Arabidopsis thaliana: one gene and its partners. The protein of the gene in region 2 interacts with the protein of the main gene of each other region in a pairwise test. Each region holds a gene or a part of one and is shown on either strand. Other genes may lie near its edges.

Region 1 (7,384 bases), on a different chromosome or scaffold from region 2:
GCTTTTAAAAAAGAATTTTACTAACATTTTTATTTGATTGTAGATATGAAAGGGAAGATTAGAGTTTATTGTCGAATAAGACCTCTAAATGAAAAAGAGAGTTCAGAGAGGGAAAAACAAATGCTGACAACTGTGGATGAGTTTACTGTTGAACATCCATGGAAAGACGACAAAAGAAAGCAACACATATATGATCGCGTATTTGACATGCGTGCTAGTCAAGATGATATCTTTGAAGACACAAAGGTATTATTGATATGTAACTGTGTTCATTTACCTTTCATCCTTTGTTATTTTCTTGTGGTTACTAACATCGTTTTCCTTTTAACAGTATTTGGTACAGTCGGCTGTAGATGGGTATAACGTTTGCATCTTTGCATATGGTCAAACTGGTTCTGGAAAAACTTTCACTATATATGGGCATGAGAGCAATCCTGGACTCACACCTCGAGCTACAAAGGAACTGTTCAACATATTAAAGCGAGATAGCAAGAGATTTTCATTTTCTCTAAAGGTAATTTGTTATCCTAATAGATGATGTGATAAAAGATTATGACATCAACTGACTACAAAAAGTTATGCAGGCATATATGGTGGAACTTTATCAAGACACACTTGTAGACCTTTTGTTACCAAAAAGTGCAAGACGCTTGAAACTAGAGATTAAAAAAGATTCAAAGGTATTGTGAGATATATCTATTTTAACTAGGTTATAACTAGATTGTAGACACGTAAGTTTGATCTTATGCATAAAATATTTTCTCAGGGAATGGTCTTTGTAGAGAATGTGACAACTATTCCTATATCAACTTTGGAGGAACTGCGAATGATTCTTGAACGGGGATCGGAACGACGACATGTTTCTGGAACAAATATGAATGAAGAAAGCTCAAGATCTCACCTCATATTATCAGTTGTTATTGAAAGTATTGATCTTCAAACCCAGTCTGCTGCGAGGGGCAAGGTGACAAAATTCACTATGTTTTTCTTTATTGACTCATTATCATTTTTCACAGGATTTAGTAGCATTTAGGGATTTTAAGGAAATAGGAGTTTCTTTAGATTTTCATGCTTAGTCTACCGAAGAAAAATATAGTAACATTAATCTTGTTTAAGAGAGATATTATTTTACAGCTCAAATCTTTGGTCTGGTACAAAATGTTAAACCTTTATGTACACAATCCATATTATTAGTCAATGATATGCCCTCCATTGTTAAACCCATATCACCTGATCATGGTGGTATCTTCTACAATATTCTGAATTTTTGTTTGTTATTTGCAGCTGAGTTTTGTGGATCTTGCTGGTTCTGAGAGAGTTAAAAAGTCGGGCTCAGCTGGTTGTCAACTCAAAGAAGCTCAAAGTATCAACAAATCACTTTCTGCATTAGGTGATGTTATTGGTGCTTTATCTTCTGGCAACCAGCATATTCCTTATAGGAATCACAAGCTAACGATGTTGATGAGCGATTCATTGGGCGGCAATGCCAAGACGTTAATGTTTGTTAATGTGTCTCCAGCCGAATCAAATTTGGACGAGACGTACAATTCTCTTCTGTAAGTCATGAGTTCCCATATATATATAACATAAATCAAATATGCTTAGTGTAAAAATGGATAATCCATATTGTTTTTTTTCCTCCTTTGATTCCAGATATGCATCGAGAGTGAGAACGATCGTGAATGATCCCAGCAAACATATATCATCCAAAGAGATGGTGCGATTGAAGAAGTTGGTAGCATACTGGAAAGAGCAAGCCGGTAAAAAAGGTGAGGAAGAAGACTTGGTGGATATTGAGGAAGATCGTACACGAAAAGATGAGGCAGATAGTTGAAGAAAGCTGACATGAAATTCGTCTAGGTGAAATTGAGACTATAGTATCACTGGTTTTCACCATTCTTTTTGTAGGAAGTTCCTGCTTTATAGTAGAGTTTCTATCGAAGAGTAGTCCTATATGTCTCAAACTTTCTCTCTTTTGATGAGATCTTCATTACAAGAAATGAAAAAAAAAAAAAAAAATTCGTAGATATTATATGAAGCTGGTGAGAACCATACAAACATATAAAGATAACCCCATAATGTCAAAAGTTATGGTATACGGAGACTAAAAATTCAAACTTTTAATTTAAGGGAAAACTAGACTATAAATTCCATTTTGTGGATTGGAGAAATAACAAAAATTCACCAGTAAAATTTAAGGATTTACACGCAAGACAAATGTAATCCATACGTTGACATTGGGTGATGTAAAGTTGAAGGACTACTCTAATGCCTAGAAGAAGGAAAAAAAAAAAAAATCTCTTTTTGTTTGACCTTTTTTTTTTTGAATAAAACTTTTTTTCATTCCATGATTTCTCATCTGTCTCGCATTAATACTAATTCAGTGTTCGTTGAAAACGTAACTCAAAAATGTCGAAATTGACACAATGAAGGACTACTTTCACTATGTCTGCAATCTAGACTGTGTATTCCGTACTGAAATTTATATACAAGCAAGAAAGTCTATAAGCACACTTGAACAATGCACACAAAATGAATTTCTTTCAGCTGTTTAGCGTTTTTGTATCTAACCAGAAATGGAAGAAGAAAGAAACGAAAATGAGTATGGTCATCTTCATTTTCTTTCTTTTATTGTTGATGAGTAGTGAAAACTCCACCGATTTTTCTTTTTTTGCTATAATCCTCTTCTTCAAACTGATCACAAACCTTCTCTTCATCAATCCTTCCCATAACCATACAACTATAATTTCTCCGGAGATCCATCTGTCGTTTCATAGCCGTCGTCTCCACCGTGATTTCTCCGCTGCTGGCGCCACGTGTGACAAACCGGCAACGTTCACGTGTTGTCGTGGCCGAATTTAGGGTGAAGCTACGAGGGAGAACGGTGGTTGGTGCTTCGCAGATTTGGAAATTACCGGGTGGTAAGCCAAAAGCGCCGGAGCCACCACCACCGCGGATGAAACCGGCGGAGCATGACGTCATGCTACGTATGTAAGCGTCACGTGCCATGATCAAGAAACGAACCGGAGATTTCACCAACCTTGCTAAATTGCTTTCTTTCTTCATTTCTTTAGCTTTCATGATTTAAAGTGGAATAAAAAAAAGTTGATATAAGAGATTACAGAGAGAGTGAGAGAGAGAGGAGATGCGACTAGAACAGGAAGATGCCGTGTATGATAGACTTCGTTTTAAATGCATTTCAGAAATAATAATTATTAGGGTATGTATATATAAATGTATCTAGTTGGATGTTTACGGTTTGGTGATACTTATCTTATTAAAAATTCACAAAATATTAATCTATAGTTTAATTTACTTTGGTTAAGTCAAAATAAGGTTGAAGTTGTAATCTTAAGGGCCGGCAGTTTTAATTAGTATTAATTTTTTAGAAATTTCTTGAAGTATTTATCCATTGAAGCTTAAACTTGCTTACAAGCTCAATAGTCAAATAACAATTGCCAAAGTACACGTCTATATGTCTTTAAACACGTTATCAAAGCGTACAACAACAAAAATATCAAAGTCGAAATTATTATTATAATTAATATGGATTGAGATATGGCACCAAATTTCTTGCATTAAAAATACTGAAATAATGATTTAGGGGGAGTGAGAGATTCATTGGAAGGAAAAGAGAGTATATAAGAAATTGGTGGTTACAGTTGACTTGATTTACCAGTTTCACTATCAAAATTTAAAACCAATTTGTCAAATAAGAAAGATTTTGCTTCAACTTGATTTGTTTCTATAGAGATATTTGACAATGGATTCAATATGTTGTTGGCAACTTGAAATGAAAGCAATAAATTCATCGCTGACATATCTATCTGCACTTTTATAATTTCCAATTATAACTTGCCCCACATAATAAAGTTTTCGAAAGTCAATTTGTAACCTGTATGTCTAGGACGAGATATATTAAATTTTTGATTTGCATCTTTAACAACGACAATAAAAATTCTCGATTTTGCATCTTTATATTTTTGCATAGCTTATTGGGCTTCTTAAATCCTATCATTCACGAAGGCCGTGTACAGCATTTTGATGTACCATTTCGAAGCCCTCACAGCCCAACAACACAAACATTATTATATTTTCTGATAATCGTAGGCATGGTAAAATTTTCAGTTTTAGACCCAATAATATCGTGAATCGAGTTCTATGTTATCCAATTATCATGATGATACTATATGAATTCGCAAACGAATATATCCCGAAAAATAAATCAATTCATCAAGTTAAATTATGATCTGCTGAAAAATTAATCATAATTTGTATCACTAACCTAAAAATAGCGAAACAACATGTTAAATAATCTACGAGTTTAGGACTCACGTGACAGTCTATGTAGCTTAGAAACAAAATACAAAGCGCAATGTGATGTAATTATTCAAATACGACAATCTCAATAACTCATTTCTAAGTTAAATAATCAAACAAATTTAGCAAATTGAAAATTATGCAGGGCAACTCTAGGCACAACAATTATATAAATGTCCTGATATGTGTTCTGTTCATCAAACAATATTTAGAACAACCCTAACCAGCCTGTAGTCATGGTCACTAGGTCCCTTCTCTAGCACATACAAACAGCCATTTATTAGTTAAAAATACTAATTGTATTATCGTCACAATCAATATGAAAATTCACATGGTTTTAGTCGTTATTACAAACACGTCACATCGACTTAAAACTCTTGCCGGTCCGCTTTAAGTTTACTAGTTTGACCGGGAAACTCATAACATCGACAACATTGAGATCATTCATTGGCAATGAATTCATTGCCTATCAATAGCCATTGATAACATACTCTATAAATTAAAAATACTAAGAATTCAAAAATAAACTAGCAATTAATTGTAGAACTAAAACTAGTTGAGTGAATCATACTTTTGTTAATAACACATAATTAAGATTGAATCCGTGTGATATTTGAAAACTTGGTTGGAATATCAAAATTCTGCATTTCTGGCAGAGTACTCAACTCCAACAAAAACAACACATGGGTCTCAGATCTCTCTGCTGACACTCCCATCAATTTTCGCTTATTAAAATTTATCTTCATTTAGTTAAATTTGTAGTATTAATAAAAGTTAACAACATTCATTAATACCGAAGATTAGGAACGAAAAGAGAGACGTGGAAGGATATAAGTGGTGACAGAGCAGTCAAAGACAACCGAGACACGATCGAGGCGTACAGTCAAAGCAACACACACTGTCATATGGTCAAACGTCTAGCTGGATCTTTTGCATGTAGTGGACCCCATACTTCTTTATTTACACTTTTTCTTTTTTCTTTTTCGTGCCAATCTAGGAAATAAACTTACTAAAAATTGAAAAATATGTTCTTACAGAGAAAAAATTGTTGTTATTCTTCTAATTAAGTGGGAGTAATACTACGGATTTGTTTAAGCAAATATGTTCCATTTCAATAGTATGAAACGAGAAAGAGTAATGCTTTTGTTTTTCCATGTATTTACTCATTACTGCAATTATTCTTCATAGTTTCTAGAATATATAGACTGTAAAGAAAAGTGTTTATAAAAAACGAGATTTTTAGATTTTTGTTTGAAAAAATAGAGAATTGTTTATAGCAATGATAATGATGATTCAAATAAAAGGTTAATGAAGTAATTAGGCCTTGAAATGAACGTCGCACGTGACCCTAACCTGTCCTCGTGGGTATTTGTAGTTTACTTAGCAGCTTTTTTTACTTACGTGCGGGATTTTCTTTGCTCATCGTCTAAAAGACCATAATACCCCCTTCATCTATTTTTCTTCTTAATTTACTGAGATAATACTTTATTGTTTTTGACAACACATCGATTTCAGTAGCAAAAATTAAAGGGAAGACCCAAGAGAGTGCTCTTTTAAGCAACATGATATTTCAATGGAACACAAAATCAATATGAAGATTTATTATTTGGTCTAAAAATATTTAAAAAAAAAACACCTCAATTTTTTTTTTAGCTAAAGATGGGTACATATGGGTCAAGCCAAGGACAAAATGGGTATTTAACCTCAGGATCTGAGCTTGCACGTGTGGCGCATGGGTCGAGAGATGAGTTGATAACCGGCTATAGCCTGTAAAAATCTCGGTCAACATAATCTGTGTTTTTTTTTGGGTTTTTGTCTGCTTTTTAGTTTTTTCCCAGCAAAAAGAGTGAAAAAGAGAAAATCTTTGGTCCAAACCAAAAGAAACGTTCCCTTTTTTTAATTTGTCTCTTTGCTTTAATAATTTCCTTCTCACCGAAACACACACCACAACCAATTCTCTTCTCCTTCTTCCTCTTTCACAAATTCGTCATCTGGGTATTCTTAAATTTCTCACAAATTCATTTACTTTTTTGTTCTGTTCCGAGATTTCAAGGTTCACTATCGATTCTGAAACTCTTGGAACAATCCAGATTCTTGGTTAGCAGGTGGGGAAGCATTAATCATGTATTTATGATACACTGCTCCATTATTATTACGAGAGAGTTGAAAGTTTCCTTTTTGACTCGTTTTTAAAGGCAAGGAAGAAGAAAGACTTTGTTTTTAAAATGCCAATGTTTCAGCCTTCTAAGAACGGTGGGTTTGATGGGCATATCTTAGATCTACACTCGGCGGTTAAAGACGGTGTTCTTGGCGGCGGAGATGGGAAATTTCTGGTGGTTGTTACCGATGAGAAGAAGAAATTGGATTTGAAGGAGATGATTTCTGAGCTGGAATTACCTGAAATACCCTCTGTTTTCATCTGTCCTATCTCTCTAGAGCCGATGCAAGATCCAGTGACCTTGTGTACTGGTCAAACCTACGAGAGGTCCAACATTCTCAAATGGTTCAATATAGGGCATTGTACTTGCCCAACGACGATGCAAGAGCTTTGGGATGATTTGGTCACTCCTAACAAGACTCTTCACCAATTGATCTACACTTGGTTTTCACAGAAGTATGTTTTGATGAAGAAACGATCTGAAGATGTGCAAGGACGTGCTATTGAGATTCTGGGTACGTTGAGAAAGGCTAAAGGGAAAGCAAAGGTTCATGCTTTAAGCGAGCTTAAGCAAGTTGTGATGGCTCACGCTATTGCTAAGAAGACTGTTGTTGATGAAGGTGGAGTCTTTGTGATCTCTTCTCTTTTAAGTCCTTTTACTTCTCACGCTGTTGGATCTGAGGCTATAGCTATTCTTGTTAATCTTGAGCTTGACTCTGATTCCAAAGCTGGATTGATGCAACCAGCTAGGGTCTCGTTGATGGTTGATATGTTGAATGATGGTTCGATTGAAACTAAGATCAATTGTGCTAGATTGATTGGAAGGTTGGTGGAGGAGAAAGGTTTTAGAGCAGAGCTTGTTTCTAGTCATAGTTTGCTTGTTGGATTAATGAGATTGGTTAAAGA
Region 2 (8,094 bases):
GAAATTAGTGTATTAATACCATTGTTATTACTAGTAGTTTATTACCGAGATTAATGCATTACTTATTTGTTGTCCGTTGACCAGAACTGATATGGTGGGTGGGCTCTTTTATCTCATCGGAAAAAATATTATTCGTCCGTTCTCTTGGACGTGTTGGTTTATCATAATTTTTATTCATCTACAAGTGTTTTATCGTTTAGCTGATGGCCTTTTTCAAAGCATGAGATAAATCTAAATGTAACAAATACTAAAAGATTAGTAAGACACTTATTATTATTATGGATAAAGGTCTTGATCGTACCATATGTTATCTTTACATATTTCACGCATTGATTAGAATTTTGATAAATCATCGAAGCTTAAGTCGCGCCGAAAGATTTTAGCGTGCAACTAAAGGATTATTATATTGCGAGTTGCATCTTGGCAGCTGTAATCCACTCATTAATTGCCACGTGTGAAGGCCATCTTTAAACATTATTTGGACGGTAGAAAAGAGCTTTATCAGTCGTTAGAATTTGTGAGTAATCTAATCAAATCATTTGCATATCTATCTTTCTAAACTGTGTTTTTTCTCTTATTTTGTTATATCTATCTTTTTATTTAGTTTTTGCTTTATCTTCTTAAGGCGAGATGTATGGTATCGTTAACAGTTAACACGGTATTTTGACTATTATCCAAGCTCGTGAAACCTTTTCATAAGTAATTCAAGGTGCAATGAAAATGAAAAAAAAAAAAAAATCGTTGAAGTTGACATCGTATAGAAGAGGTCTAAGATCCATATTTTATGTACTACTTTATAAATAAATTACAAATTTAATCTTTGAGACATTGTGGTGTTAATAATAACCATTTTGTATTTACTGAATTTCGATAATGTTTGTGACGTATTGTTCTATCAAAGTTTCCAAGTTTGATAAGATTTTTGGAGTCAAAGGTCAATAACTATGAATTTAAAATTCCGTTACCTTTCAACGATATTTATCTAATACTATCTCAGCAGAAATGCAGTTACCCTTAATTAATAAAAATATATATATATTCTACAGAGCTGTTTGTATTTTCATATGGTAAAGTTTCATTATCTTTTCGTTTTCAATGAATATTGGTTTTGACTTTTGACCACAAAAACAAAATGAATATTGGTTGGAGAAAGGTTAAATATAAATTTATTTATTTTTGCTTTCGAATTTTCTTCTAAAATTATCGAATAGGTGACTGTTTTTTTTTGGCGTATCTTATTAGTGACTTGTGTCTGAAAGTGAAGTCCTAAGAGCTGTCCACGTGATCTGTTTGTATTGTGTGTTCACATTCCTTTTCTTTCCACATTAATCTCTCTTATATTAAGTGTCTTAATTGATGACTACATTCCTAATTTATATATGTGAAAGTGTTATTAAGAATCTGAGTATTGTGTTACATAAGAATGGGTATAAGATTGCTAAAGAGAATCCCCAAAATTTTGTTTGTATTTATTTTCGAGTAGTTGATATACCTTCTCATGTGAGTTACATTACTTTACGAGCCATTATCCGACGCGTGAAAGCCCAGGCTACATCTGTATTCACAACTGAGGAAAAAGACAAAATTGCCAACAAAAGTATTAGGTTGAAAATTGATCATTACAAGTTGCAAGTTGCAGCACATTACAATATTTTCTTCTCATTACAAAAAATATCGAAAAAGATTTTTTGTGTGTGTATTTGAATAGCTGTTATACCAGCTAATTGTTTTGAATTATCCGTCGTAAGGAGATAACGTGGTGGCTCCTAATACCTTTACTTCTTCTTTTCTTCTCTTTTGGCAATGCCTTGTCATTCAAGTCAACGTCGAATTTCAACACGTGCTCTTCGTAAACTCAAGATTACATAGATTTGAATGTAACTAACTTATCACATCTTATATCTAGTCTTCTAAATTTTGCTGTCTATGGATAATATAACATAATATATGGTATATAAACAACACATTATGATAAATATCTTAAATACATTCACTTTAATGGGATCGTATGAAAACATTTTGTGTTTCTTTTGGTCATAATTGCAAGTTGAAGTATTGGTTAATGCTGACCATCAGGCAAATACGAAGAGTAAACAATACATGATTAACATCTAAGAATTGTTTGTTCTGGTTTCGGCCGTTTTAGTTTTCGGTGGATATGGAAAAATGTGTAGAACAAAAAGGTTCAGAACTCCAGAATTCTACCACACAAAAGAAATTGTTTCAGGTTTGACGCTTATAATTTATGATTTGTGGAACAATGACAAAGATTATCATCGACTAATCTTAGAAGACACTTATTAAGAATCACATATGAAAAAAGCTTACTAGATACAAATAATATAATAACAATAAACAAACTCTATTAACAATAGAGGAAAATTGGGAGATATCAACTTGGAATGTGATATTTGAATCGACTAATCGAGTCAATTAAAGACAAAGAAAATTATGATTTAAGAAAAACAGGTGAGTTTGATAAAACACGTTGTAGTCTTGTTGTAGATCTCCGAATTGACGTCAACTCAATATCAAAATCTTTCACTATGAAATTCAAAATCCGAATCAAAACGTCTAACCTAGCTATAGAATATATACATTAGTCAATGGTCAACCTTTTATATTTTATTGTTATAATCATATATGGTGAAGATAATTGTATTTGGAGGACCAATATTCAACTATTTCCTGTAATTTAGAACATTTATTTTTTTCTTAAATATATGTTTTTTGCTTATATATAGTCGCAATTTTTAGAAGTTCCATAATCCATATACTTGAACTTCTAAAGCTATAGTCGCAAGCACCTTATTGTTGTTGTTTAATAAAAGTTCTAATTTTGGTAGACAAGTGAAAAAACAAAATTAAACTATCTGGTGTTTACATATATGAAAAATATACATTTCCAGCAGTGAATTTTGGTTTTGCATGAAAAATACATAAATAGCAATTCACTGCAGCAGGGGTCAGAATATAGAAACATGAACCACACACATAAAAAAAAAGTAGATTCTGACTAGATCAATCTGAATTAAAAACTAGTAAATTTTGACAGACGGACGTGGCCGTGGAAAGAAGTAGAAAGAGACAATGAGAGATGGAGAAAGAGAGACGTAAGTATTGATTTGGCCAACGGCTCATATGCAAAGAATATTAATAATAATAATGTTCTTTGCGTTTTTTTACCAATTACATCAAACATTTGTTAGGCACACGTCTTTTCTTTTTCTCCTTTTTAGTTAAGGGCATCTCCATCCATGAAAAACCCACAAAGTTTCTCAAACAAAAAAAAATTAATATTATATTATAATTTGATTTTTTGATTAAAAAAATATTTTTATTAAAAAGTTGAATCAATAATTAAAAGGGAATTATCATGATGGATTGTAGAGAATATCTCAGAGTTTCTCAAGTAAGAAACTTTCTACTCTCTCTCCTTCATTTTTATTATTTTTATTTTTTAATTGTGAGAAACTCTTATAAAAAACCCCCAATGAAAATGGTCTAACTTTCTTTTCCGTTGAATTTCTCTCATGTATTAACAGTAACATAAGTATTTATATCACATACACTTGTCAAATTTGTCTCTTTAGAGATTTTAAAAAGTTATCACTTAGAGAACTTTTACCTGTTTGGACTTTGGACGGTTAGACAGATAATATCTAAAATTACTCCAATTTTTATATATACATGCAATACTAAGGTATAAAAAAGGTTCTAGAATGTTAAAATCGTTGCTGAAAAAAAACAAAATCGTCTATAGATTGTTAATTTTTGCTTCTTGTACAAACACTTAGTAATGATTAATGATTTAATTTTAATATGTAAAGACTGATTTTTAAAATAAAAAATAGCATAAGATGAAAATTTATGTTTCAAAAAATATTTGTGATTATGGGTTGTTTGAGACTGGAAAATAATCAAACAACATTGGGCCTTTCATGTAGAATTTTTTATTACATTTAGAACCGTTAACGATATGGGCTAACTCAAGACATTAAAGGCCCAACATTGAGTTACTAAACGGCGCAGTTTTTAGCTTTTTAAAATTGCGTCTTTTTCGTTCACTGAAAAGGTAGTCCTTCTCTTTCCCACTCACATCATCAACTTCATCAATTCATCACCTTTGTCTCTCTTTCAAGCTTCTCTGTGTGTGATCTCCGTTGGTCAACAACAACTACAACAGGTAACTTCTATTCTTCGATTCCTTAAATTTCTTCTCTAGAGCTTAGTGAATCAACGATTTAGGTCTGAACATATTTGGCAATCTGTCCTTGCTCAAATTTCGCTTGAAAATTTCAATCCCAAATCATGTAAAGCTAAATCGGAAAGTTCTATGTAGTTCCCAAAGTTGAATCACGAACTGGAAGTAATTTAATTTATTGACTTAGGATATGTTGAAATTTTTAGGTTTTTTGTTTTGTTTTTAGCTTATTGAGCAGAGATGGATCATCAATTTGGATATGGTGTTGAAGTTACTGGGTTATCTCCATCTGTTACTCATAATGATCTTATCGATTTCTTCTCTTTCTCTGGTACTATCCAAGATATTGATATTGTCAGGTGAGTCTTTTTACTTTTTAGCAAGTTTGTTGTTTGTTTGCTTATTCTGGATTCAAAAGAGTACACTTTGTAATGTTGTTAATGAGACTAGGTCGGGTGAGCAAGCTTGTACTGCTTATGTGATGTTTAAGGATTCTTATTCTCAAGAAACTGCTGTTTTACTCACTGTAAGTGTTAGTTTGGATTTGATTCACTCTTTCTATCTTTTTTGGATGTCTCTTGAGAAATCACTCACTTCTTTGATATCTTCAGGGCGCAACGATATTGGATCAGCGTGTTTGTATAACTCGTTGGGGACAACATCACGAAGAGTTCGATTTCTGGAATGCGACTTCGCGAGGTTTTGAAGATGAATCGGACTCACAAGTATGTATCGCTTTTGACACTTCTCTCAACTTTGATCTTTCTGTCTTCTTTTTTTGTTAAAATAGTTAAATCTAACGGTCACTGGTTCAGTAGTCTTTATGTTGAAGTTTGATGCTTGGTCTCAATTCTAAAGCTTATTCGTTCTTCAATCATGTAGCATTATGCTCAACGAAGCGAGTTCAACGCTGGAGAAGCAGTGACAAAAGCTCAAGAAGTGGTGAAAATAATGCTTGCCACAGGATTCGTGCTAGGCAAAGACGCTTTAAGCAAAGCTAAAGCCTTTGATGAATCCCACGGCGTATCAGCTGCAGCGGTGGCTAGAGTATCTCAACTAGAACAGAGGATTGGTCTTACTGACAAAATCTTTACCGGACTTGAAGCTGTTAGAATGACTGACCAAAGGTATCATGTTTCAGATACAGCTAAATCAGCTGTCTTTGCCACAGGAAGAACCGCGGCAGCAGCTGCAACTAGTGTTGTCAATAGCAGTTACTTCTCCAGCGGAGCTCTTTGGCTGTCTGGTGCATTAGAGAGAGCTGCTAAAGCCGCATCTGATCTCGGTACCCGCGGCTCAAGGCAGTGAATAGACCAATGGCCCGATTCAGAACCGTATTCGTCTGTGAATATATATGATGCAAAGCTGATCATGAATAACTGGCTCATGAAGTGTGATAAGACCAAATTTTATCAAAACGAATACCATATAGAAATCTATCAAAGTATACTCTCACATGATGATGCTGATATAGAGTTTGGTTACATTACCTACATCTTAACTCTTCATTAGTAGCATAATCTTTTTTCTTATATAATTTCTGATTTATATCATTCTATGGTTGATATTGATTCAATATTTGGATAGATGTTGTATCCATAGAGCTTAGGCCACGTGGCACAATTTGCGCCAAAAAATCAAATCCAAAAAACAGAGAAGTCATCATCTTTTCACTCCAAATCTTCCAGTCACTCAAATCATTCTCTCATGGCAGCTTCTTCCTCAATTCCGCCGTCAACCGCCGTAACCTCCGTCGTTCGCAAATCTCTCCTCCTCTCAACCACCTTCTCCTTCCCCGCTTCTTCATTGTCTCCCTCCACGAAACTACCACAAAGACACATTCAAAGATTGCTCCTAGCTTCCTCCTCCGCATCCGCATCCACCGTTCCTTCCGATTCCAAACCGGCGAAGAAAGAAACAGTCTACTTCGACGGCGGAGCTCATTACGGAGATCTATTAGCCAATCTCATTCTAGGTCTAACCATCCTTTGGCTCCCACTAACCTTAGCTGCAGTGTCTCGAGCTTTTAACCTTCGTTACAGGTTCACTAACCTCCGCGTGACGGTTATTTCGGGACTCACCGGAGATGATCGGAGCGATTTCTCGTACAAAGTGATAAAAGACGTTCAAGTTGTGCCGAGGTTCATCGGAGAATGGGGAGATATCATCATTACTTTGAAAGATGGAACTAAAGTGGATTTGAGAAGTGTCCCTAAGTTCAGAGAGATTGCTAAGTACTGTTTATCTATGGCTGATCAACCTGCTGTTTTGAAAGAATCTGGTGCTAAAGGCTTTTGATTATTTCTCATTTCTGGGCAAAATTGATTCTTCTTGTTGTGATTTCTTCAGTACAAATCGAATCCTTTCCATGTTCTTTCATTTGTTATTGATTTCTTCATCTCTGTATTGTTAAGACGATCGTATCTAAACGGCGCGCGATTTTAGCTCTACAATAAGAAACGGCGTGATGTTTGGTTAATGTTGAAACGGCAGGTAGTCCTCTTTTAGATTAGAGAAATGGCATGGATATTAATACTATCTTCTTCTTTTTTATTCATATGGCTGCATTTTAAGAATATAGAGGATTAACAGCCCAAAGTTTGGATTAAAAAAAAAACAGCCCAAAGTTATTTATTAATTATTCAAGTTCAAAATAGCGTCAATTATCTTTAATTTATATACACGTTTATTTATTTCTACTTTTCTAATAACCAAGATTCATCATAAGCAAATTAATCTCTAAAAAGTAAAAACTATCAAGTTTATACAAATGGGCAAACGAAAATGTATAATTTGAATAATGTGCCCACATTAATTTCTATACTCGCATATGAAAATATGATTACGTTTTTTATGGGATAACGGATTCAAATACAAGAAATGGGATTACATATTCAATAGCTTCCTTTGTTAGTACTTTAATTCTAGTAGTTCAAAGACTAATTAATAAGAACTACATATGGTCCTATCTGTTAAATTTGACCATATTAATCTAATAATCTCCATTGGATTCCACTAAAATTTGTTAAAAAAATATTAGTAGAGAATTTCGTAAGAGAAGGTTGATGAGTATGTATAGGGAGTCTTATTAAAGCTTCTGCCTCTGACACATTCTCATCAAATCTTATGTAGTCTTCCCCATTTCCCAATTTTGACCATATTATTCTTGTTTTTATTCTTTGTTTATCATACCCCGTTGTCTTCTTTCATTGTTTATCCTATACGTTTTCTAATCACATATAGGGTGTGATATGGTGAAAGCAAAAAGATGTGGGAGTAAAATAAAAATAGATTTTGGCGTAATTATTTCTGTCCATTTTCTCTAATTGTTTTGTAGCGGAAAAAATTATAAAGTTTTCGACACTTTCAGCTCAAACCTTTTTTTTTCCTTTTTCTGTGAATCATAGGCGAATCTAGAGTAATATTTTATTTTACTCTAACAAATATAACCAATAACACCCATAGTTTTTATATCTCCACTCCAATGATGCACTATTTTTAGAGAAACATCCGAAATATGAATACATTATCTCCAAAATATAGTGTTAGAAGTTGGTTTCGCAATGTGAGTTCATAGAAGTTGCATATAAAGCATAAATATACACCGTAAAGATAGATGGCTCACTATCCACCAGCAACTTTCAATTAAAAAGGAACATTTTGCAGAATTCATATTTCTCTCTTTGTTCCCAAGCTTTATGTCACATTGTTTCACATGCATGGGCAGAATGGGCTGATTGGCACATATGTGCACTTACATGTCCGTGCGCTGTGCGCATCTGTAAAAGTTCATGTCTACATGGTAAACAAGTACGCGTATTGAATACGTACACATACATACCTCTAAAATGGCGTATTCACGAGAAATCCAAAATACAATATGGGATCAA
Region 3 (7,947 bases), about 22 Mb from region 2:
AAAATTCAATCATTCTGGAACCAAATTCAGTATATACAGCACTATTAATGCAAGTTCTTGGAAACAAGAGAACAGAATATACTTCTCATAACTCTTCGAGCAACTTACTTGGTGGCTTTGAGAAAAAGCAAAGAAGATGTCTGAATCTGCAGTCAGGTCTGTAGGGATGACGAGGAACTCATGACCGCAAGTCTTTGTGCCTCTTCAACACGACCACACCGATTGAGAAGTTCAATGACCAGTGAATAATGCTCTTCTGATGGCTGCAAATTGTACATCCGGAGCATCAAGTTGAAGAAGCGATAAGCTTCATCAACAAATCCGGCTTGACTGCAAATAGATAAAACTGCTGTAAATGTGAAGGTGTTGGGAGTAAACCCTCTTGATACCATTTGCTCAAAACAGTTTATTGCATCCCTGAAGAGTTCATTGCATCCATAAGCCTCTATAATGGCGGTCCATGTCAGAGAGCCCTTGACAGCAACAGCATCGAAAGAGAAATTAGCACTTCTGAGATCTCCACATTTTCCATACATCTTGATGATTCTTGCAGAAACAAATGGGATCGACTCAAATTCCTTTTTCAGAATGTGCCCATGAAGCTCTTTCCCCAACTTTAATGCTTTGAGATCACTGCAAACAGTCAAAACCCTACCCATCGTAACAGAATCTGGCCTGTGTTTTGATAACAGCATCAATCTGAATACCTCAATCCCTGCTCTTAAATCACAATTTTCCACATAGCAGTCAATCATAGCGGTCCATGCTTTCACATTCCTTTGTTCCAACCTGTCAAACAGTCTGATAGGATACTCTGGAACACCGCACTTTGAGTACATCACCATCAAGGAAGTGACCAGGGATACATTCGGCAAGAAGAGATTCTTTAAAGCATAACAATGAATCTCCTTTCCTTGCTTTATAGCCCTCAGCTCTGCGCAAACAGGAAGAACAGTAGCAATTGTAACAACATCTGGCCTAAAACCTTCCTGCTGCATCCAAACAATCGACCTCAAAGCTTGATCAAATCTACCGTTGGCTGCGTATCCAGACATCAATGCAGTCCAAGATATGGCATTCCTCTGTTTGGATCCATAGAACACACGTCTCCCAGAAGCCATATCCCCACACTTGCAGTATAAATCAATCAAACCAGAGTGAACAAACGGCTGTTCCACGTAATTCTTCGATTTCAATACATGGGCATGGACCTCCTTCCCCAGTTTCAGTGCCTTAACATCCCCAAGTACGGGAAGAATCGTTGTAAGTATAACTGAGTTTGGATATATCTTTTCTTCACTAATCATCGTCCTAAACAGTCCCAACGCTTCCCACTGCCTTTTATTGTGAGCCAATCCAGCAATCATCGCCCCCCAAACAACTATATCTCTCTCTACAATCTCATCAAAAACTCGACGTGCAAGCCCTACTTTACCACACTTAAAATACATATCAACAAGAGAAGTCTTAAGAAAGACACTATTAAACAAACCATTCTTAATCGCAAGTGCATGCGTCTTCAATCCCTGTCTCAAAGCAGATGCACCAGCAAAACTCTTAAACACATTAGATAAACTATAAACATTCAAATCAACACCAAGCTCTCTCATTTCTGTAAACGTAGAAAGAACATCTTGATACCGCTTCTTCCCTGATATAACAGTCCCTCTAAGCAACGCATTCCAAGAGTAAACATTTGAGCTAGTACTTTCATCGAACACCTTCTGTGCATCTTTAACCGAACCACAAGCAGTATACATATGAACAAGCTTGGTCCTTAGAAACTCATTACTCTCCAACCCATTAATACGTATATGAACATGGACTTGTTTACCGTGAAGCAACGACTTCCGGCGAACACACGCCTCTAAAAGAGCAGAGAAAGTTGTCGCATTTACAGGAATCCCTCTCTGTTCGAGATAATCAAGAATCGTGAGAGCGACTTCGAGATTGTTCTGCCTCGCAAAAATTTGAATATCTCTGTGGATAATGTAGGGGTTCTTGGAGTGGAGAGGAAGAGAAGAAGGGAAAGCATCTCTTTCCCTAAAAGGTTTCGGCTTTTTGGCGGGAGAAGTGGAAGGTCGTCTAGTTCTGCTTGGTCTAATCGGAGATTTCGCCGGAGCGCCATCTTTATCGGAACGATGAGGACGGTGGTTGAGACTCGTCGTCACGGAGAGGGACGCCGGGAGGTCTCGGATTCCGAGAGACGACACTACTTCCATTGTGACCACTAACCACTTGATTAAGCTAAAGGTCGTTAGTATTTATATGTAGCTTTAAACTATTTTTATAAAGTATGCAATTGAAATTGAAAGCTAATATTTGGGCCAGAAAATTGAAATATGGGCTTAGGGCCCCCAAAACAATTGTAGCCCATCAGTTCACACACGGTTTCGTTTTTAAAAAAAGCATGTATTTAGAATTTATTGGCTTTTATTTTGGTGGTTGCTTCAATCTTCCTCGTTTAAAAACAATTCATGTCAACTTGGACAAGTTACAAAAAAAACGTTTCATATTTTTGTCACTAAAAATATTCAGTTAAATAAAGTAATTGACTCTTCGTTTTCCCGACGATACTGTATAAATAAACATCATGTTTCTACTTGTTCACATATCGACTCTTTGTTTGTCCGATTCTATCTCTCTCTTTAGAAACTTTATCTAGTCTCTTCGAACTTAATCTTAACGACGATGGTGCCGGTTACGATCAACTCTCCACCTAAACCTGAATCATCCGAAGAAGAACTCAGCGACTCCCAAGTTTCCAACTCATCGGAAGACGACGACTCAATGGAAGACGAACCATCAGACTCTGAAAACAACAATGGAGGTACATGCATGCATCACTCTCTATTTTATTTCAGATTTTTCACTTCACCATTTCACATGTTTCCACTGTAAAGAAGTTGGAGCGTTTGTTAAGAAATACTTTGCATGTTCATGTTCTGTTTGACTGTGAGGTTTCAAGATTATTACGTTGATATAAAAATCTTAAAAGTGATTAAGATAGTTTTTGTATCGTATCTTTAATACTTTCTTAAAAAAAAATCTTATGTCAATAGTTGTTACAGAAACTGAGGCTAATGGTATTAAAGATGAGTTTTGGGCTCGGTATCCATCTTTGAAGATGTTTTTAAGTAAGGAGATGGTCAAAGAATTTATTTCTGAAGAGTATATTTTGGAGAAAGGTAAGCTTATTGGAGATAATAAGGCCAAAGAATTGAATGAAAAATGTGAGGTTTTGTTTATCAAGGAGATAGAGCATCTCATCAACAAATATCGCTTCATGGCTGATGTTTTGGAGTTGTTGTTTTTGTGAGAACTTTTCGATAGTGACGTGCATGGCTTGAGTTTGATTTTCTCGTTTTTATTTATGTTATAATTATTGTGTTCCATCTATGAATGTAAAAGATTTATGAAGGATTCGATTTTTTTCTCTTTTTTTAAAGATTATTATAAACGTCTTTCATAACCATCTCTTTATTCATTATATGTTCAGGAGTGAAAAAACAAAATCTAAAAAATAGGGTTAAATGTTTGCTTAGCTTCTCTCTTTATGTAGATTTGAGAACCGATGAACAAGAATTTACTGAAAATATATCATTGATCTAAAAATTATGAAAAACAATTCAACTTTTTATCCACCAACACATATTTTTCTTTACTTTTCTGTTCTGCTACGCATTACCTAGTCTTATATTTCGAAAAATTATAAAATCTCATTTCACAACTAAATTAAAAGTATCATTTCACAAACAAATAAGATGAAATGATGATAGAAAAATCATCAATTAATAGGAAAGAGGATTGGAGTATACTTCTATTGATTGTTACAGTATCCACATGGCATCGATAATCATAGGGACTACTAATAAGAATTTCTGTCCACAAATTCCAATTGAAATTCAAAATTCAACTCTTTGCTCTCTTAATCACAAACACAAATGAGCCACAAAAACGAAGACATCATATCAAGAAACGACGATGAGCTTCACTGCTTCTCTCGTCTCTTATTTGACGTCTCCCTCACTCGTCTCGCTCAACCATCTTCCTCCTTCCTTCTTCCTCCCAACCAAACTTGTCAAGCCAACAAGCCTCACTCATTCACAGCCTCCGAGATTGTCCGCATCCTATGGTCCAGCTGCAAAAGCTGCTACAGCCAACGACGTTGTTCCAGAAACAGCTCCGACATCAGCGTCGGAGGTCGTCTCCAGCTTCTACGCCGCCGTTAACGTCCATGATTTATCCTCTGTCACAGACCTCATCGCTCAGGACTGCGTCTACGAGGATCTCGTCTTCTCATCTCCCTTTGTTGGCCGAAAGGTGAAACGATTATTATTCTAATAAACCAAAGTCTCTTCTTTTCAGACTTTGTTGTGTCTCAGAGCCTAATTTTGATAAAGCCATGACAGGCAATTCTTGATTTCTTCGGAAAATTCATTGAATCAACAAGTACGGATCTCCAATTCGTGATAGATGATATCTCAACAGAAGACTCTTCAGCTGTTGGAGTTTCATGGCATTTAGGTTAGTTTTTAACAGACTCTTTATGATTTAGTCGTCTATGTTTCTCTAATGATAAGTCGTAAATTGGAGATTTTTGACAGAATGGAAAGGAAAGAACTTCCCATTTAGCAAAGGTTGCAGCTTTTACCGGTTAGAGGTGATTGATGGGAAGAGACAGATCGTGTAAGCACACTTTTCTCGACAGATCGTGTAGACTGACAGAGATGCCAATTTTTGTCTTGCTGGGATAAACATTTCTTCTCTGTTTTGTTTGCAGATATGGAAGAGACTGCGTTGAGCCTGCAATCAAACCTGGAGAAACAGTTCTGGTAACATGAGCTACTATCAATTTTGATTGTGTGGATGTGTTTGAAATTGCAGAGGTAATGAAGATTTAACAGCTTTTGCATTTTGTGTATTCAGGCTGCTATAAAGGGAGTTACCTGGCTGCTGCAGAAATTTCCTCAACTGGCCGACCAATTCTGATGGCATTACAAAGCTCTTGCTCGATGAAGTGAATCAGCTCACAATATAAGTTTTCTTTGTGTTATATAGGAAAAATACTTCCGCAGCAATCCCCACCATTGTCCAATTTTAGTTAATGTATATACTAGAACTTGTCATGTGTATCCAACTTGTTCTCAGTCTGGTGATATGCAGGCGTATATAGACTATGTGCTATTAACTAAATAAAGCTCCAGTTGATCATCCTCAGCTCTTCACCTTCATCCCATTTCTTGAAGAAGTTCTTCATCTGAACTTTGCACCTTATTGATGGCATAACCAGCATTGTCTTTCATCAGCTGATTCAGTCCATCTAATAGAGGATAAGTATTACATGCTTCAGGGCTTGATGTGTCCCCCACCGAAAACAGTGAAAATCCAGAATCTGTGTCGATCCAAGCACAGCCAGGATCCTTTTTCACACCCAAGTCCCTCATTATAGTCCTCACTTCAGCAAGCTTGCTCCAAGAACCAGCAGCTGCATACATATTTGCAATTAACACGTAGTATCCCGGGTTCTCTGGCTTCATCTCCAGGAGCTTTTCTGCTGCCCATTTACCAATCTGTGTGTTCCCATGGATGTGACACGCGTTCAGTAGGGTAGCCCACGTGGCACCGGATGGCTTATATGGCATATTGTGAATTATGTCTTTGGCTTTTGCTAGGAAACCTGCTCTGCCATAGAGATCAACCATACAAGAAAAATGTTGAAGACAAGGACGTATACCATACTCACACTGCATCTTCATAAACAGCCTTTCACCTTCATGGACTAACTTGGAATGACTGCAGGCTGATAGAACTGCAACCACGGTTACATGGTCAGGTTTAATACCAGATCTGGTCATCTCCTTGAACAGGGCCAAGGCTACTCCCCCTTCACCTTGATTTCCGTATCCATCTATCAAGGAAGTGTATGTTACTTCGTCTCTTTTGCTCATCAAATCAGATACTTGCTTTGCAGCTACAATCTTTCCCGATTTTGCATAAACATCAACAAGGGAGTTCCACAGCATTGTATAGTCCTTGAAGCACTTGCGCCTCAGGATGTAGCAATGAAACTCTTTTCCATGTTGCAGGTTTGCAATCCGAGCACAAAGAGGGAGAATGCTTGCTAGTGTAATGGAATTTGGCTGAAAGCCAGCAACCAACATCTCCCTCAGCAGGTGAGAGGCTTCTTCTGATTTGTTCAGCTGCGCATAACCGGAAATGATAGAGTTCCAAGTACACAAACTATTTTCTTCAGTCTGTCGAAACACTATTAAGGCGTGCCTAAGGTCTTTGCATTTTGAGTACATTGTGATCAACGTGTTTCGAACATTGTCAATCCCATCATAAGAACTGTGAATAGCAAGACCGTGAATCTCTTTTCCCAATCGTATTGCTCCTATGAGAGAGCAAGCCTTCAAACCAATAATCATAGCCACAGGATCTAAGCTCGTAGGAAAATTTCTCATCCTAGAGATCAAACCCAAAGCTCCTACATAATTTCCTGTTTGCAAACAACCTCCAGAAATAATATTCCAAGTTATGACACTGACCTCAACACCTGAAAACCACATTTTATCGAAAAGCTCAAACGCTTCACTCCACATGCCTTCCGAAGCATAACAGTTTATCACTGCATTCCATGAGACAGCATCCCTTTCAAACATTCGATCAAACAACCTCCGAGCAATACCCATATTTCTAAACCTTTTATACATAGAGATCAATGCATTACAAACATACAAGCTGGACTTGTAAGAGCTAACCTCGATGGAACCATGAACCACCCTTCCAAAGGCAACGTCAAGTGTTTCACCACAAGCCTTAAGAACAGACGGATAAGTGAAGGCATCGGGTCGGATTCCCTTGCTCACCATTCTCTTGTAAGCAGCAATAACCTCCTCAAAAAGCTCGTTCTTGGCATACGAAGCAATGAGCACATTCCAAGGTAAGGGATGCAAAATGTCAGAGTTCTCAATAATCGATTGAGCTTCATTGTGGAGATTGAAAGCAGAGTAAAAGGTAACCAGCTTTGGGACTAACACAGAGTGATATTCGACACCCGACGAAATACAGTGAGCGTGAACTTGCACCCCTGCTAAAAATGCACGAACATCAACGCAAGCGGATAAAAGGGAAGCCGCGGAATGCAAAACGAGGTCATCTGAAACTGCAGAAGAAGATTGAAGACGAAGAAGAGAAAACGTTTTGAAAGCGTCGTGCAAATGACCGTGGCTGGCCAAATGTCCAAGAGATTTGAAAAGACTCTCACTCAGCATTGGTTCAATGTGGGTTTGGAAAGTTCTTGGAACAAGACTGCGACTTTTTCCATAATCTGGGAATAAACTTGACAATGTCGGCTATGGTGAGACCTCCAAGAATATACGGCATATACTCTGTCTAACAACACCATGCCCAACGCGCCATATTCGAGCTCCACAACAAAAAATATGCTTCTCTACTTGAGATCAAAGCAGAATAAGACTACAAGTTGAGAAAACTTCATTGAAGCATATCATCGAACACGTGGTGTGCTGATTGCTGAACCATACTATATACACATTTGAACCCTAAGAGCTGAGAGTATATACATAGCAGAACCTATATGATTGAGAATAACGAAACAGAGGTAAGAGAGAGATATTGGAACAACAAAGCAAAGCGGAAGAATGCGCGCGAAAAAACGCAACAAGAGTACGAGACTCTGAAGATGAAGAGTGAAGACAACTCCATGCCAAATTTGCTTGTCGGTTACTGAATTTATGAGCCTTTCTCCTAAGGCCCACATTGGCCCAACTGTTTACAAGGCCCATTGGGGCTAGTTTCCAAACAAAATATCTGAAGAAGTGAGGCGTGTTGGCTAAATAGAGGCCCATATAAAAAAAGTGTGGCTACCATTATTCTTCTTCTTCTTCGTTATCCACTTCTCTCTCCTTTGTGTGGTCAAAT
Region 4 (7,928 bases), 2.2 Mb from region 2:
ATCGTATATCCACCACTCCCGACGAAGGGTTAGAGAAGTGGGGTCGTCTCCAATGTGTGACAACAGTCTTAGAGACACTTACGTACACCTTCCATCGTCCATGCACAAATATTTTAAGAAAACAGGAAAGTAGAAAAGCTTTGGATATATGATTTTGAATTGAGATAGGTATAAATATAGTAGTAGGAGAGGGAGAGGAAGAGAGGGAAGAGATGACATTTTTAATGAAGGGTCCAAAAGAAAAACAGAATCTGAAACGTCAAATCATGTTAGTTGAGGTCTTTGGCTGTTTGTGCCTCTGACGGGTCTTGTCCACACACTTTAATGTTTCCTTTTCTTTCTTTCTTTTTTCACTGCCTTTTTTCTTCCTTCATTATTATGTTTTTTTGCTTCAATCTTCATTATTACCGTTTTCATTATCCTTTGTTTGTTTAACGGTAAATCTGTTTCGGAACAATTTAGTCTAATAGCCACAAATAAAAGTAGTGTAAAGAATGTATTAGTTAGTTAGATATAATTAGTTATATATAAATTGCCAAATCAAGTCCATAACAAATTAGAAACGTGGATACACAGCTTTATCCTTAATTTTGTTTTTGTTTTAATTAGCTTACATGATTGCATGTGACACATAAATGACAAAAAACAAATTTGACATAAACCATACTTTAAAAATAATAAAATTATGTATTAATGATGTTATTGGTTTAACTGATTTTTATTTTAGAAGTCTACACTTTAAAGTTTAATCCCTACCTCCAACATCTTTAATCCTAACAATCCTATGAAATTGTATATGCTTAAGCAGTTAACCCTAACACTGTGTACCCTTACGCTAATTTAAAAGATTCTATGAAAGTACTTCTAATTTTATATTATTTTTAGCAATAGAATTTCATAACATTAATTTCTATGCTTTATAAACATGTTTAATTCTAGATATGGTATAACTATATTTCTTAAATTGTTACCCTAAAGTCGTATAAATGTGTGTAAAAAAAAAAGTCGTATAAATGGTGAACAATTAAATTGCAAAGATGAAAGAACACAAATTATTCACGTGGCCAGCCCAGCCCAGTAATTGATAGATTTGTTGTTTAAGCCCAGCAATTAGTATCGAATCGAACCAATATTCTGAACCGAATACATCATGGTTACACGACCGACACCTATAAGGTTGTCTTCTTTGATGATCAAACCTAAAGTCCGAAAAAGAAAAAAAAGAAAAAAAACCCGAAAAACTTTAGCTCATTGAAAGACTAATTGACTAAAGACATGGCAAAAAGGATACTGTATTTAGTAATTGTTTGTGTTTGAATTGATTACGTCAAATATAGTTTGATAACGAGATGCATATTGCAATCCCATAGCCAAACTAGAAATATACAAATTTGAATAGAAAAAGAAACGAACTAAGGCAAGTCATATACGGCAATGAAGGACATCAATACACTTCCCATCCAAAGCTTCCCATCTTTCTCCTCCACTTCACTCACTGCCTTCACCACTTTCCCTTTACTATCTTCCAACACCTTTAGCACTTTCCCTTCTTCACTGTACTTCACAGCTACAGCATGAGGCCAACCACCTACCTGCAGCAAGTACTGAAACTTCACTGATATCGGCAGCTTCAGAAAGAACTTCCTCACCCTCGGGTAATGCGCCATCAAGTGTGTGAATATGTTTCTGTGGCAGTGCACCGCCACCCAGAAATCTCCATCTTTGTTTGTGCGGATGTTGTCTGGGAACCCATGTAATAGAGCTACCACTTCTGACGTTCCAGCTTTCTCCCCTTTCAACCAGTATTTCCGTAATCTGAACAACAACAACAAAAAATGACTTAGATTCTGTTCACAGTATTGGAGTTTGTTTCTAGCAGAATCATTGAAACGATATGGAAACAACATGCTAATCGTTCCATTTTAGCTTCAATCAGAAATGCTGATTGCAGAAGTTATGCCAAGTATATATACAGACAATGATGTGGAAGTCAGAGAGGAATTAAGATGAAGGACTCACCTTCCAATAGATCCTTCACAAAAGATGAAAAAGGAGCCGTCTTTGCCGAGGGATAATCCGTTAGGAAACTGGAGATTTCTCACGAGAGTGGTAGTCTCCTTTGTTTTTGGATTGTATTTCAACACCCTCCCACTGTCTTCCCCCGAGACAATCAAAAGCATAAATTTCCTACAAATAGCGCAATCAACATACTCAAACAAAAGTAGTAACTAGACATCGGAAGCTCATTGCAACTTCTTGTAGATCCTCAAAAGATAAACAGAATTCAACATTTAAGGCTCTGAAGTTATAGCCGCAGTCAAAATTTTCAATTTATGTGCCTATGACAGATCATTTCAATCAATATAACATGAGTTCCAAAAAGCAACACTTTATGCAAGCCACTGATCAGGAGAGTTAGTAAAGATCAAAACTTTAAAACCTTACATACCTTCGTTGGAAGAAAGAGCTGCTATCAGTAAAGTAAACATTGCCTTCATCATCAATGTCAAGATCATTGGTAAATCTCAAAGGCACACCATCAGCCTCGTTTGTAACAGAAGTTGCTAAACCTCCTTCCGGACCAACTTTCATTATCCCCAAATACGCATCTGCAATGTACAAATCCCCATTTTTCTTGTCGAATCGAAGACCTAAAGGCCGACCACAGATATCTTCATCCTTTAAGTAATCCAAAAGCGATGGCTTAGGATCACATAGCTCTGACCTAATAAAACATCAAAGTTGAGAACTTTACTGGAAACGAAATGGTCACAAAGACTCGATTGCAATCACAAGACTCACCGATTGTTCGAAGTATATGCGAAATCTGTCCAACGAGTGCCATTCCAAAAGAGAATTCGACCGTCGGCGACTCCGGTATAAGGACCACGACCTTGCGGATCGAAAGCAATGCTCTCGGGACCTTGAACCTCGTTAAGAAACCTGATCTCTGAATTCTGCAACAGATTCTGGCGGTCTCTCTCCTTTGGAAGTGACGATAACGGAGGCATGTCAATCTTGTAAGTTTTGAAATCCGGGAACTTGGAAATGGAGCTGTGACTGAAGGGATCGATAGCGCAATAGATGGCAAAGACGAGAAAGATCTTCGCGAGTATGCTCATGGCCATTTTCTTTGTACGAGGGATGATGATGATGATTTGAAGAAGAAAATGGTTGGGGAAGTTTTAAGGTAGAGAAGTAGAGAAGAAGTAGTTGCAGTAGAGTACACTTTTCTGGTTGAAAATTTAAAACTTTTCTCAATTGCTGCTCTTTTTCGATATATTAAGAAAAGTCAAGGAGCAATTGCAAATCGGCTAATCTGATGGCAACCCGGTATTAAATTAAAAAAAGAAACATGAAAACCGGGTGAACCGGATCGACCTTCCATTTTTTCGGTAGACCAGTTTTATTTATTCTGCAAATAATAATCGTCTTCAATCAGAGAAAAAGTTTGCAGTGAGAAGGAGATTGATTAATCGATCTGAGAAAGATGGGAGATTCGGAGTCATTTGTTGGGAAAAATTGGAATGGATTGAAGGATTTCTGGAGTGATAGGTTATCATTTTTCGAAAATTACACCAGATTCACCAAACGCGACGCGCCTCTTCCTTCTTGGTCTTCCTCCGACGTCGAGGAATTCATTGCCTCCGATCCCGTTCATGGACCCACCGTAATTTCCTTCTATCTTTCTCTCGCTCTGTGTTTTGGAATCTATAGATATTGTTGGTCCATTATCTATGACTCGGCTGGTACTCGATTTTACTCTGCTGTCATCGGTTTATTTTTTTCTTCTTCATTTGATTTTCCATTGGAAAGTTTCTGTTACTTTTTGATATAATAAAGTTCCACTAGGCTAGGTTTTTCTGGCTTTAGTCCTTGGAAGCACAGATACAAGAGGACTAAGCCCACTGCATCGTCGTCGGATGGCATAAAAAACCTAGCAAAAACTGAACTGTTGGTTTGGTATTTGGTATTCTTACTGAAGATCTTACGTTTGGTACTCATTGTGTATTTGTGGTCATCCTATCCAGCTGAAAACGGCTAGGGAAGCTGTGACGTTTGGTGTTACCGGAGCTGCACTTGGAGCTGTCTCTACTGCTGCTTTTGCCTGGAAATACTCCAGGAGTCCACATGGTAATGACATTTCTCTCTCTGTGAATAACTATTTGCTCTTTATAAACCTCACTTGTTTCTTCAAACGAAGACACAAAGCTTGCAATTCAGGGATAATGGGATTATTTGGGAGTCAATTAGACCTTTATGTCCTATATTGATAATACTTGGAAACTGGTTTGAAAGTTTATGCAGTTCTCATGGCGCTTACATTGTTTCTCAATACTAAATTGCTGTTTATTTTTCTTCCAACTTTTGACACCTCTAAACTACTGCTGGTGCGACAGGTGCTGCATTGTCCTTCTTAGGAGGAGGTGTTTTTGGTTGGACCTTTGGGCAAGAGGTCGCCAACCACACACTGCAACTCTACAAGTTGGACACAATGGCAGCCCAAGTTAAGTTCATGGAATGGTGGGAACGTAAGTCTCAATAAAGGTCCTGAATCTAAAACGAAGACGTGTGCTGCTTTCTCGTCCAGAGTATCTTCTTGGGAACAACATGAAATGCTGATTATCCATCCATTTCCAGACTTTCGCCTTTGAAACTTTTTCTATTCTCACTCTTGGAACATGTTTGCCTTGTCTTAATAATACAACATGCCTCATGAATGTTTTGAAGATTTGAGAAAATGAATTCAAAGAAACCAAATGGTCTCAAAAGAATCAGGGAATGACGACTACCCCAACTGAGCACATATCGAAACCTTTCCTTTGATGATTCATATTAGTAACTTTTCTTCATGTTGAGTTTGTTTTTTATGAAACTTACAAATTAACAACGAAGCATTTGCTTTCGTGTGTATTCGTACAAATATGATCAAGTAGAGGCCTGAAATTGTTCATGACTACTGTCGGTCTATTTTTTCATACAAATTGCTAACTACAACACAAATTGCCCTTCGGACTTGAAGAAACAAAATCCACTCCCATTGATCATATAAAGCAGATTTAAATAAGTAGCCTCTGAAGCAATATACCATACAAACCAGCCGAGAGATCCAGCAGGAAGGTGTTCCACTTATTTGAAAGAGTTGAAGAAGCTCACAGTGTCTGCCAGCGCAACGATGAAGGCGTCAACGTCATCCTTTGTGTTGTAAAAGTAGAGGCTGGCGCGTGCACTTGCATTCACTCCAAGATACCGGTGGAGTGGCTGTGCGCAGTGGTGTCCTGACCTTATTGCAACTCCGTGCTGCAACATACAATATTCGTTTTCAGTTTTCATCCCACTATGGATATTCTGATGAGAGAGTAAAGTAGGGGTTTGAGGTGGACGGTTAACATTAGAACGATCAAGATGAATTTGTTTAATCTAGATCAGTTAAAACTTCTTACAGCTGAACTCATTACTAATGTATGAGAATCACTCGGATCAAGTACTTGGACAGGTATCATGTAACCTAGATGATCTACGGGTTTTGTTTTAACCTAGTTATCAACAGAGTCCAGGCTCGTGTTCACACATGAGATTTCACCTAAATCTTGGAATAAAGAAGATCAACCTCAATTATAGGCTGCTACCACAAGATATCCTAAGGTAGGCATCTGAGATTCGCTTTGACCACTAAGTGGTAACATTACCCACTAAGAAGAGAAAGAGGTGGTAGGTAGTGCCCTTATCCTACTTGAGGTACTACCTCATATTAAAAGAATACGTTCAAGATAAGAGAAAACCAGTATGTGATGGGACAGATAGCTCCCAATTATAACAAACCTGCTGATCAAGAAAGGTTGCCAAATCAGTTGGGTGCAAGCCCTCCACATTGAAGGAACAAAGAGCACCCCTGTGAACACTTTCAGAAGGTCTGGGACCGTATATCCGCACATCAGGCAGGGAAGACAGTTTCTCGTACAAATACTTACCAATCTCTACCTGGATGACACAAGAAATTAAAATCTACAGTTAGAAAACATGTGAGAATCTCCGTGACTGTATGTACGTCATTGACGTCTAGTTGTAGGAAAATAAAATTAAACCTCATATTCATGGATTTTCGGCATGCCAATTCCTGACAAGTAATCAACTGCTGCTCCAAGGGCAATTGCTTCTCCTATTGCAGGTGTTCCAGCTTCAAATCTGATACAAACTTAAATATATTTATTTCTAAACTGCAGCAATTATGCAGATTAGTAACTAATATATGTAGAATCCCTACCTGGATGGAGGTTCCGCATAAGTTGAATGGTCAAGAAATACATCTGAGATCATTTCTCCGCCACCTAAAAGAGGATCGAAATACAAGGAAAAAAAGAAGTGGGACTCAGTCCAGTCCCATCCTTGATTAAACAGATATGATAAACTGTTTTCATAAAGAAATATTAGATAGACTGCTTACCTAAGAATGGAGGCATGGAATGTAGAAGATCACTCTTACCATATAAGAACCCAATGCCTGTAGGTCCACACATCTGAAGCATGATTATCATATTACTATAAGCTTGCCACAGGGCTTATTATGCATTTCATGAAGAAAAATAAACAATTCCAACCTTGTGAGAAGACGCAACTAGAAAATCAGCATTAAGCTTCTGGACATCAACCACCATGTGAGGAACACTTTGACAAGCATCCACTAGAACTTTCGCTCCAACATCGTGTGCCCATACCACAATCTCTTCAATAGGAAGAGAAGATGCTAAACAAAAAGAAACATAAGTTAGATACTTACCTTCTTTCATGGAAAAATTAAACACATATACAAGCCAAACAAATTGAATATGATGAGAACATGAAAAAGAATCTACCAAGAACATTAGAAACATGATGAACAGCGACGAGCTTTGTCTTTGGAGAAATCAATTCTCTCAACTTGTTTATGTCAGGGACTTCATCCTCATTCAAAGTCACAAACTTTAGAACTGCTCCAGTTTTTTGAGATACAATTTGCCAAGGAACAATGCAACTATGATGTTCAGCAACTGTAAGTATAACCTGAAAAGCTTGCATCATTCACAATCTCATTTGGAAGAATCTCAACAAGATGGATTGATAAAAGTAAAGCCAAACCTCGTCTCCTGGTTTAAGATTAGAAAGACCCCATGAATAAGCTACAAGATTGATGGCTTCAGTGGCATTCCTTGTAAAAACAATCTCTCTACTATCAGAAGCATTGATGAAACGAGCAACTTTTTTCCTAGCTAACTCAAATTCATCTGTAGCTTTAGCACTTAAATAGTGTATTCCTCGATGAACGTTGGAATTATAGAACTCATAGTAATTCTGCAAAGCGTCCAATACAGCTGCTGGCTTCTGAGAAGTTGCAGCACTGTCTAAGTACACAAGCTTTGACCCATTCACTTCCTGAAATAAAAACTCAATCAATGGTAAAATTGCTTAATTTTCAAATCCATACAATTCAAAGTTAATCAGGTTTATGGAAAGTGGACAAACCTGGTGGAGAATTCGGAAATCTTTTCGAACGCGATGGCCGAGAGAGACGGATTCGGAATCAGTGGAGATGGTGGCGGAGGAAGCGGCGGCGGCGGAACAAACGGATAGCGAAGAGGAGCAACGAACGCGGGAGAAGCTCCGGTGGCCGATGGAGATGGCGTTAGGGAACGACGGGAGTTTCATAGCCACACCTTCCATGGTGGAGAAGACGAATGAACAAGAGTGAGTCTTCAAAGTCACAAGTTCGACCACAGGCGGCGGTCAAAAGATTAATTTCATCTAAAGATATGGGCCGAATTAGGCCTTTTACTCCATTAAATGGGCCCTTGGTTTTTAAGGTCCAATCAAACCGGTTAAATACCGGTTCAACCGACTTTGAAACACTACAAAACACGTTATCTAAAATATCCTCCATTTAGTAGAAAAAG

What was found.
Region 1: the proteins of AT1G14340 (region 2) and AT5G65925 interact in a two-hybrid assay, tested with the Arabidopsis thaliana proteins (one large-scale study listed by BioGRID).
Region 3: the proteins of AT1G14340 (region 2) and AT1G71480 interact in a two-hybrid assay, tested with the Arabidopsis thaliana proteins (one large-scale study listed by BioGRID).
Region 4: the proteins of AT1G14340 (region 2) and SDH6 interact in a two-hybrid assay, tested with the Arabidopsis thaliana proteins (one large-scale study listed by BioGRID).

The regions. Positions count from the first base shown.
Region 1 is NC_003076.8:26,364,819-26,372,202, reverse strand, and holds AT5G65925 (uncharacterized protein), read right to left. Parts: upstream 3,159-7,384; 5' UTR 3,082-3,158; coding exon 2,629-3,081; 3' UTR 2,349-2,628; downstream 1-2,348. Other genes in the region: ZWI (kinesin-like calmodulin-binding protein (ZWICHEL)), read left to right, coding at 44-246, 332-514, 585-680, 767-964, 1,285-1,556, 1,654-1,834; AT5G65920 (ARM repeat superfamily protein), read left to right, coding at 6,546-7,384.
Region 2 is NC_003070.9:4,893,265-4,901,358, forward strand, and holds AT1G14340 (RNA-binding (RRM/RBD/RNP motifs) family protein), read left to right. Parts: upstream 1-4,081; 5' UTR 4,082-4,186; intron 4,187-4,430; 5' UTR 4,431-4,444; coding exon 4,445-4,563; intron 4,564-4,654; coding exon 4,655-4,730; intron 4,731-4,815; coding exon 4,816-4,929; intron 4,930-5,086; coding exon 5,087-5,512; 3' UTR 5,513-5,771; downstream 5,772-8,094. Other genes in the region: AT1G14345 (NAD(P)-linked oxidoreductase superfamily protein), read left to right, coding at 5,912-6,502.
Region 3 is NC_003070.9:26,928,095-26,936,041, forward strand, and holds AT1G71480 (Nuclear transport factor 2 (NTF2) family protein), read left to right. Parts: upstream 1-3,757; 5' UTR 3,758-3,984; coding exon 3,985-4,323; exon of another isoform or gene 4,324-4,373; intron 4,374-4,412; coding exon 4,413-4,527; coding exon of another isoform or gene 4,528-4,532; intron 4,533-4,607; coding exon 4,608-4,689; coding exon of another isoform or gene 4,690-4,693; intron 4,694-4,783; coding exon 4,784-4,835; exon of another isoform or gene 4,836-4,929; coding exon 4,930-4,992; 3' UTR 4,993-5,219; downstream 5,220-7,947. Other genes in the region: AT1G71460 (Pentatricopeptide repeat (PPR-like) superfamily protein), read right to left, coding at 153-2,222; AT1G71470 (uncharacterized protein), read left to right, coding at 2,692-2,830, 3,063-3,319; AT1G71490 (Tetratricopeptide repeat (TPR)-like superfamily protein), read right to left, coding at 5,232-7,277.
Region 4 is NC_003070.9:2,680,850-2,688,777, forward strand, and holds SDH6 (succinate dehydrogenase subunit), read left to right. Parts: upstream 1-3,326; 5' UTR 3,327-3,490; coding exon 3,491-3,670; intron 3,671-4,031; coding exon 4,032-4,134; intron 4,135-4,400; coding exon 4,401-4,546; 3' UTR 4,547-4,853; downstream 4,854-7,928. Other genes in the region: SSL3 (strictosidine synthase-like 3), read right to left, coding at 1,413-1,815, 2,020-2,187, 2,450-2,725, 2,803-3,128; CPNIFS (chloroplastic NIFS-like cysteine desulfurase), read right to left, coding at 5,131-5,301, 5,824-5,982, 6,087-6,186, 6,266-6,329, 6,446-6,518, 6,600-6,745, 6,855-7,041, 7,117-7,410 and 1 more.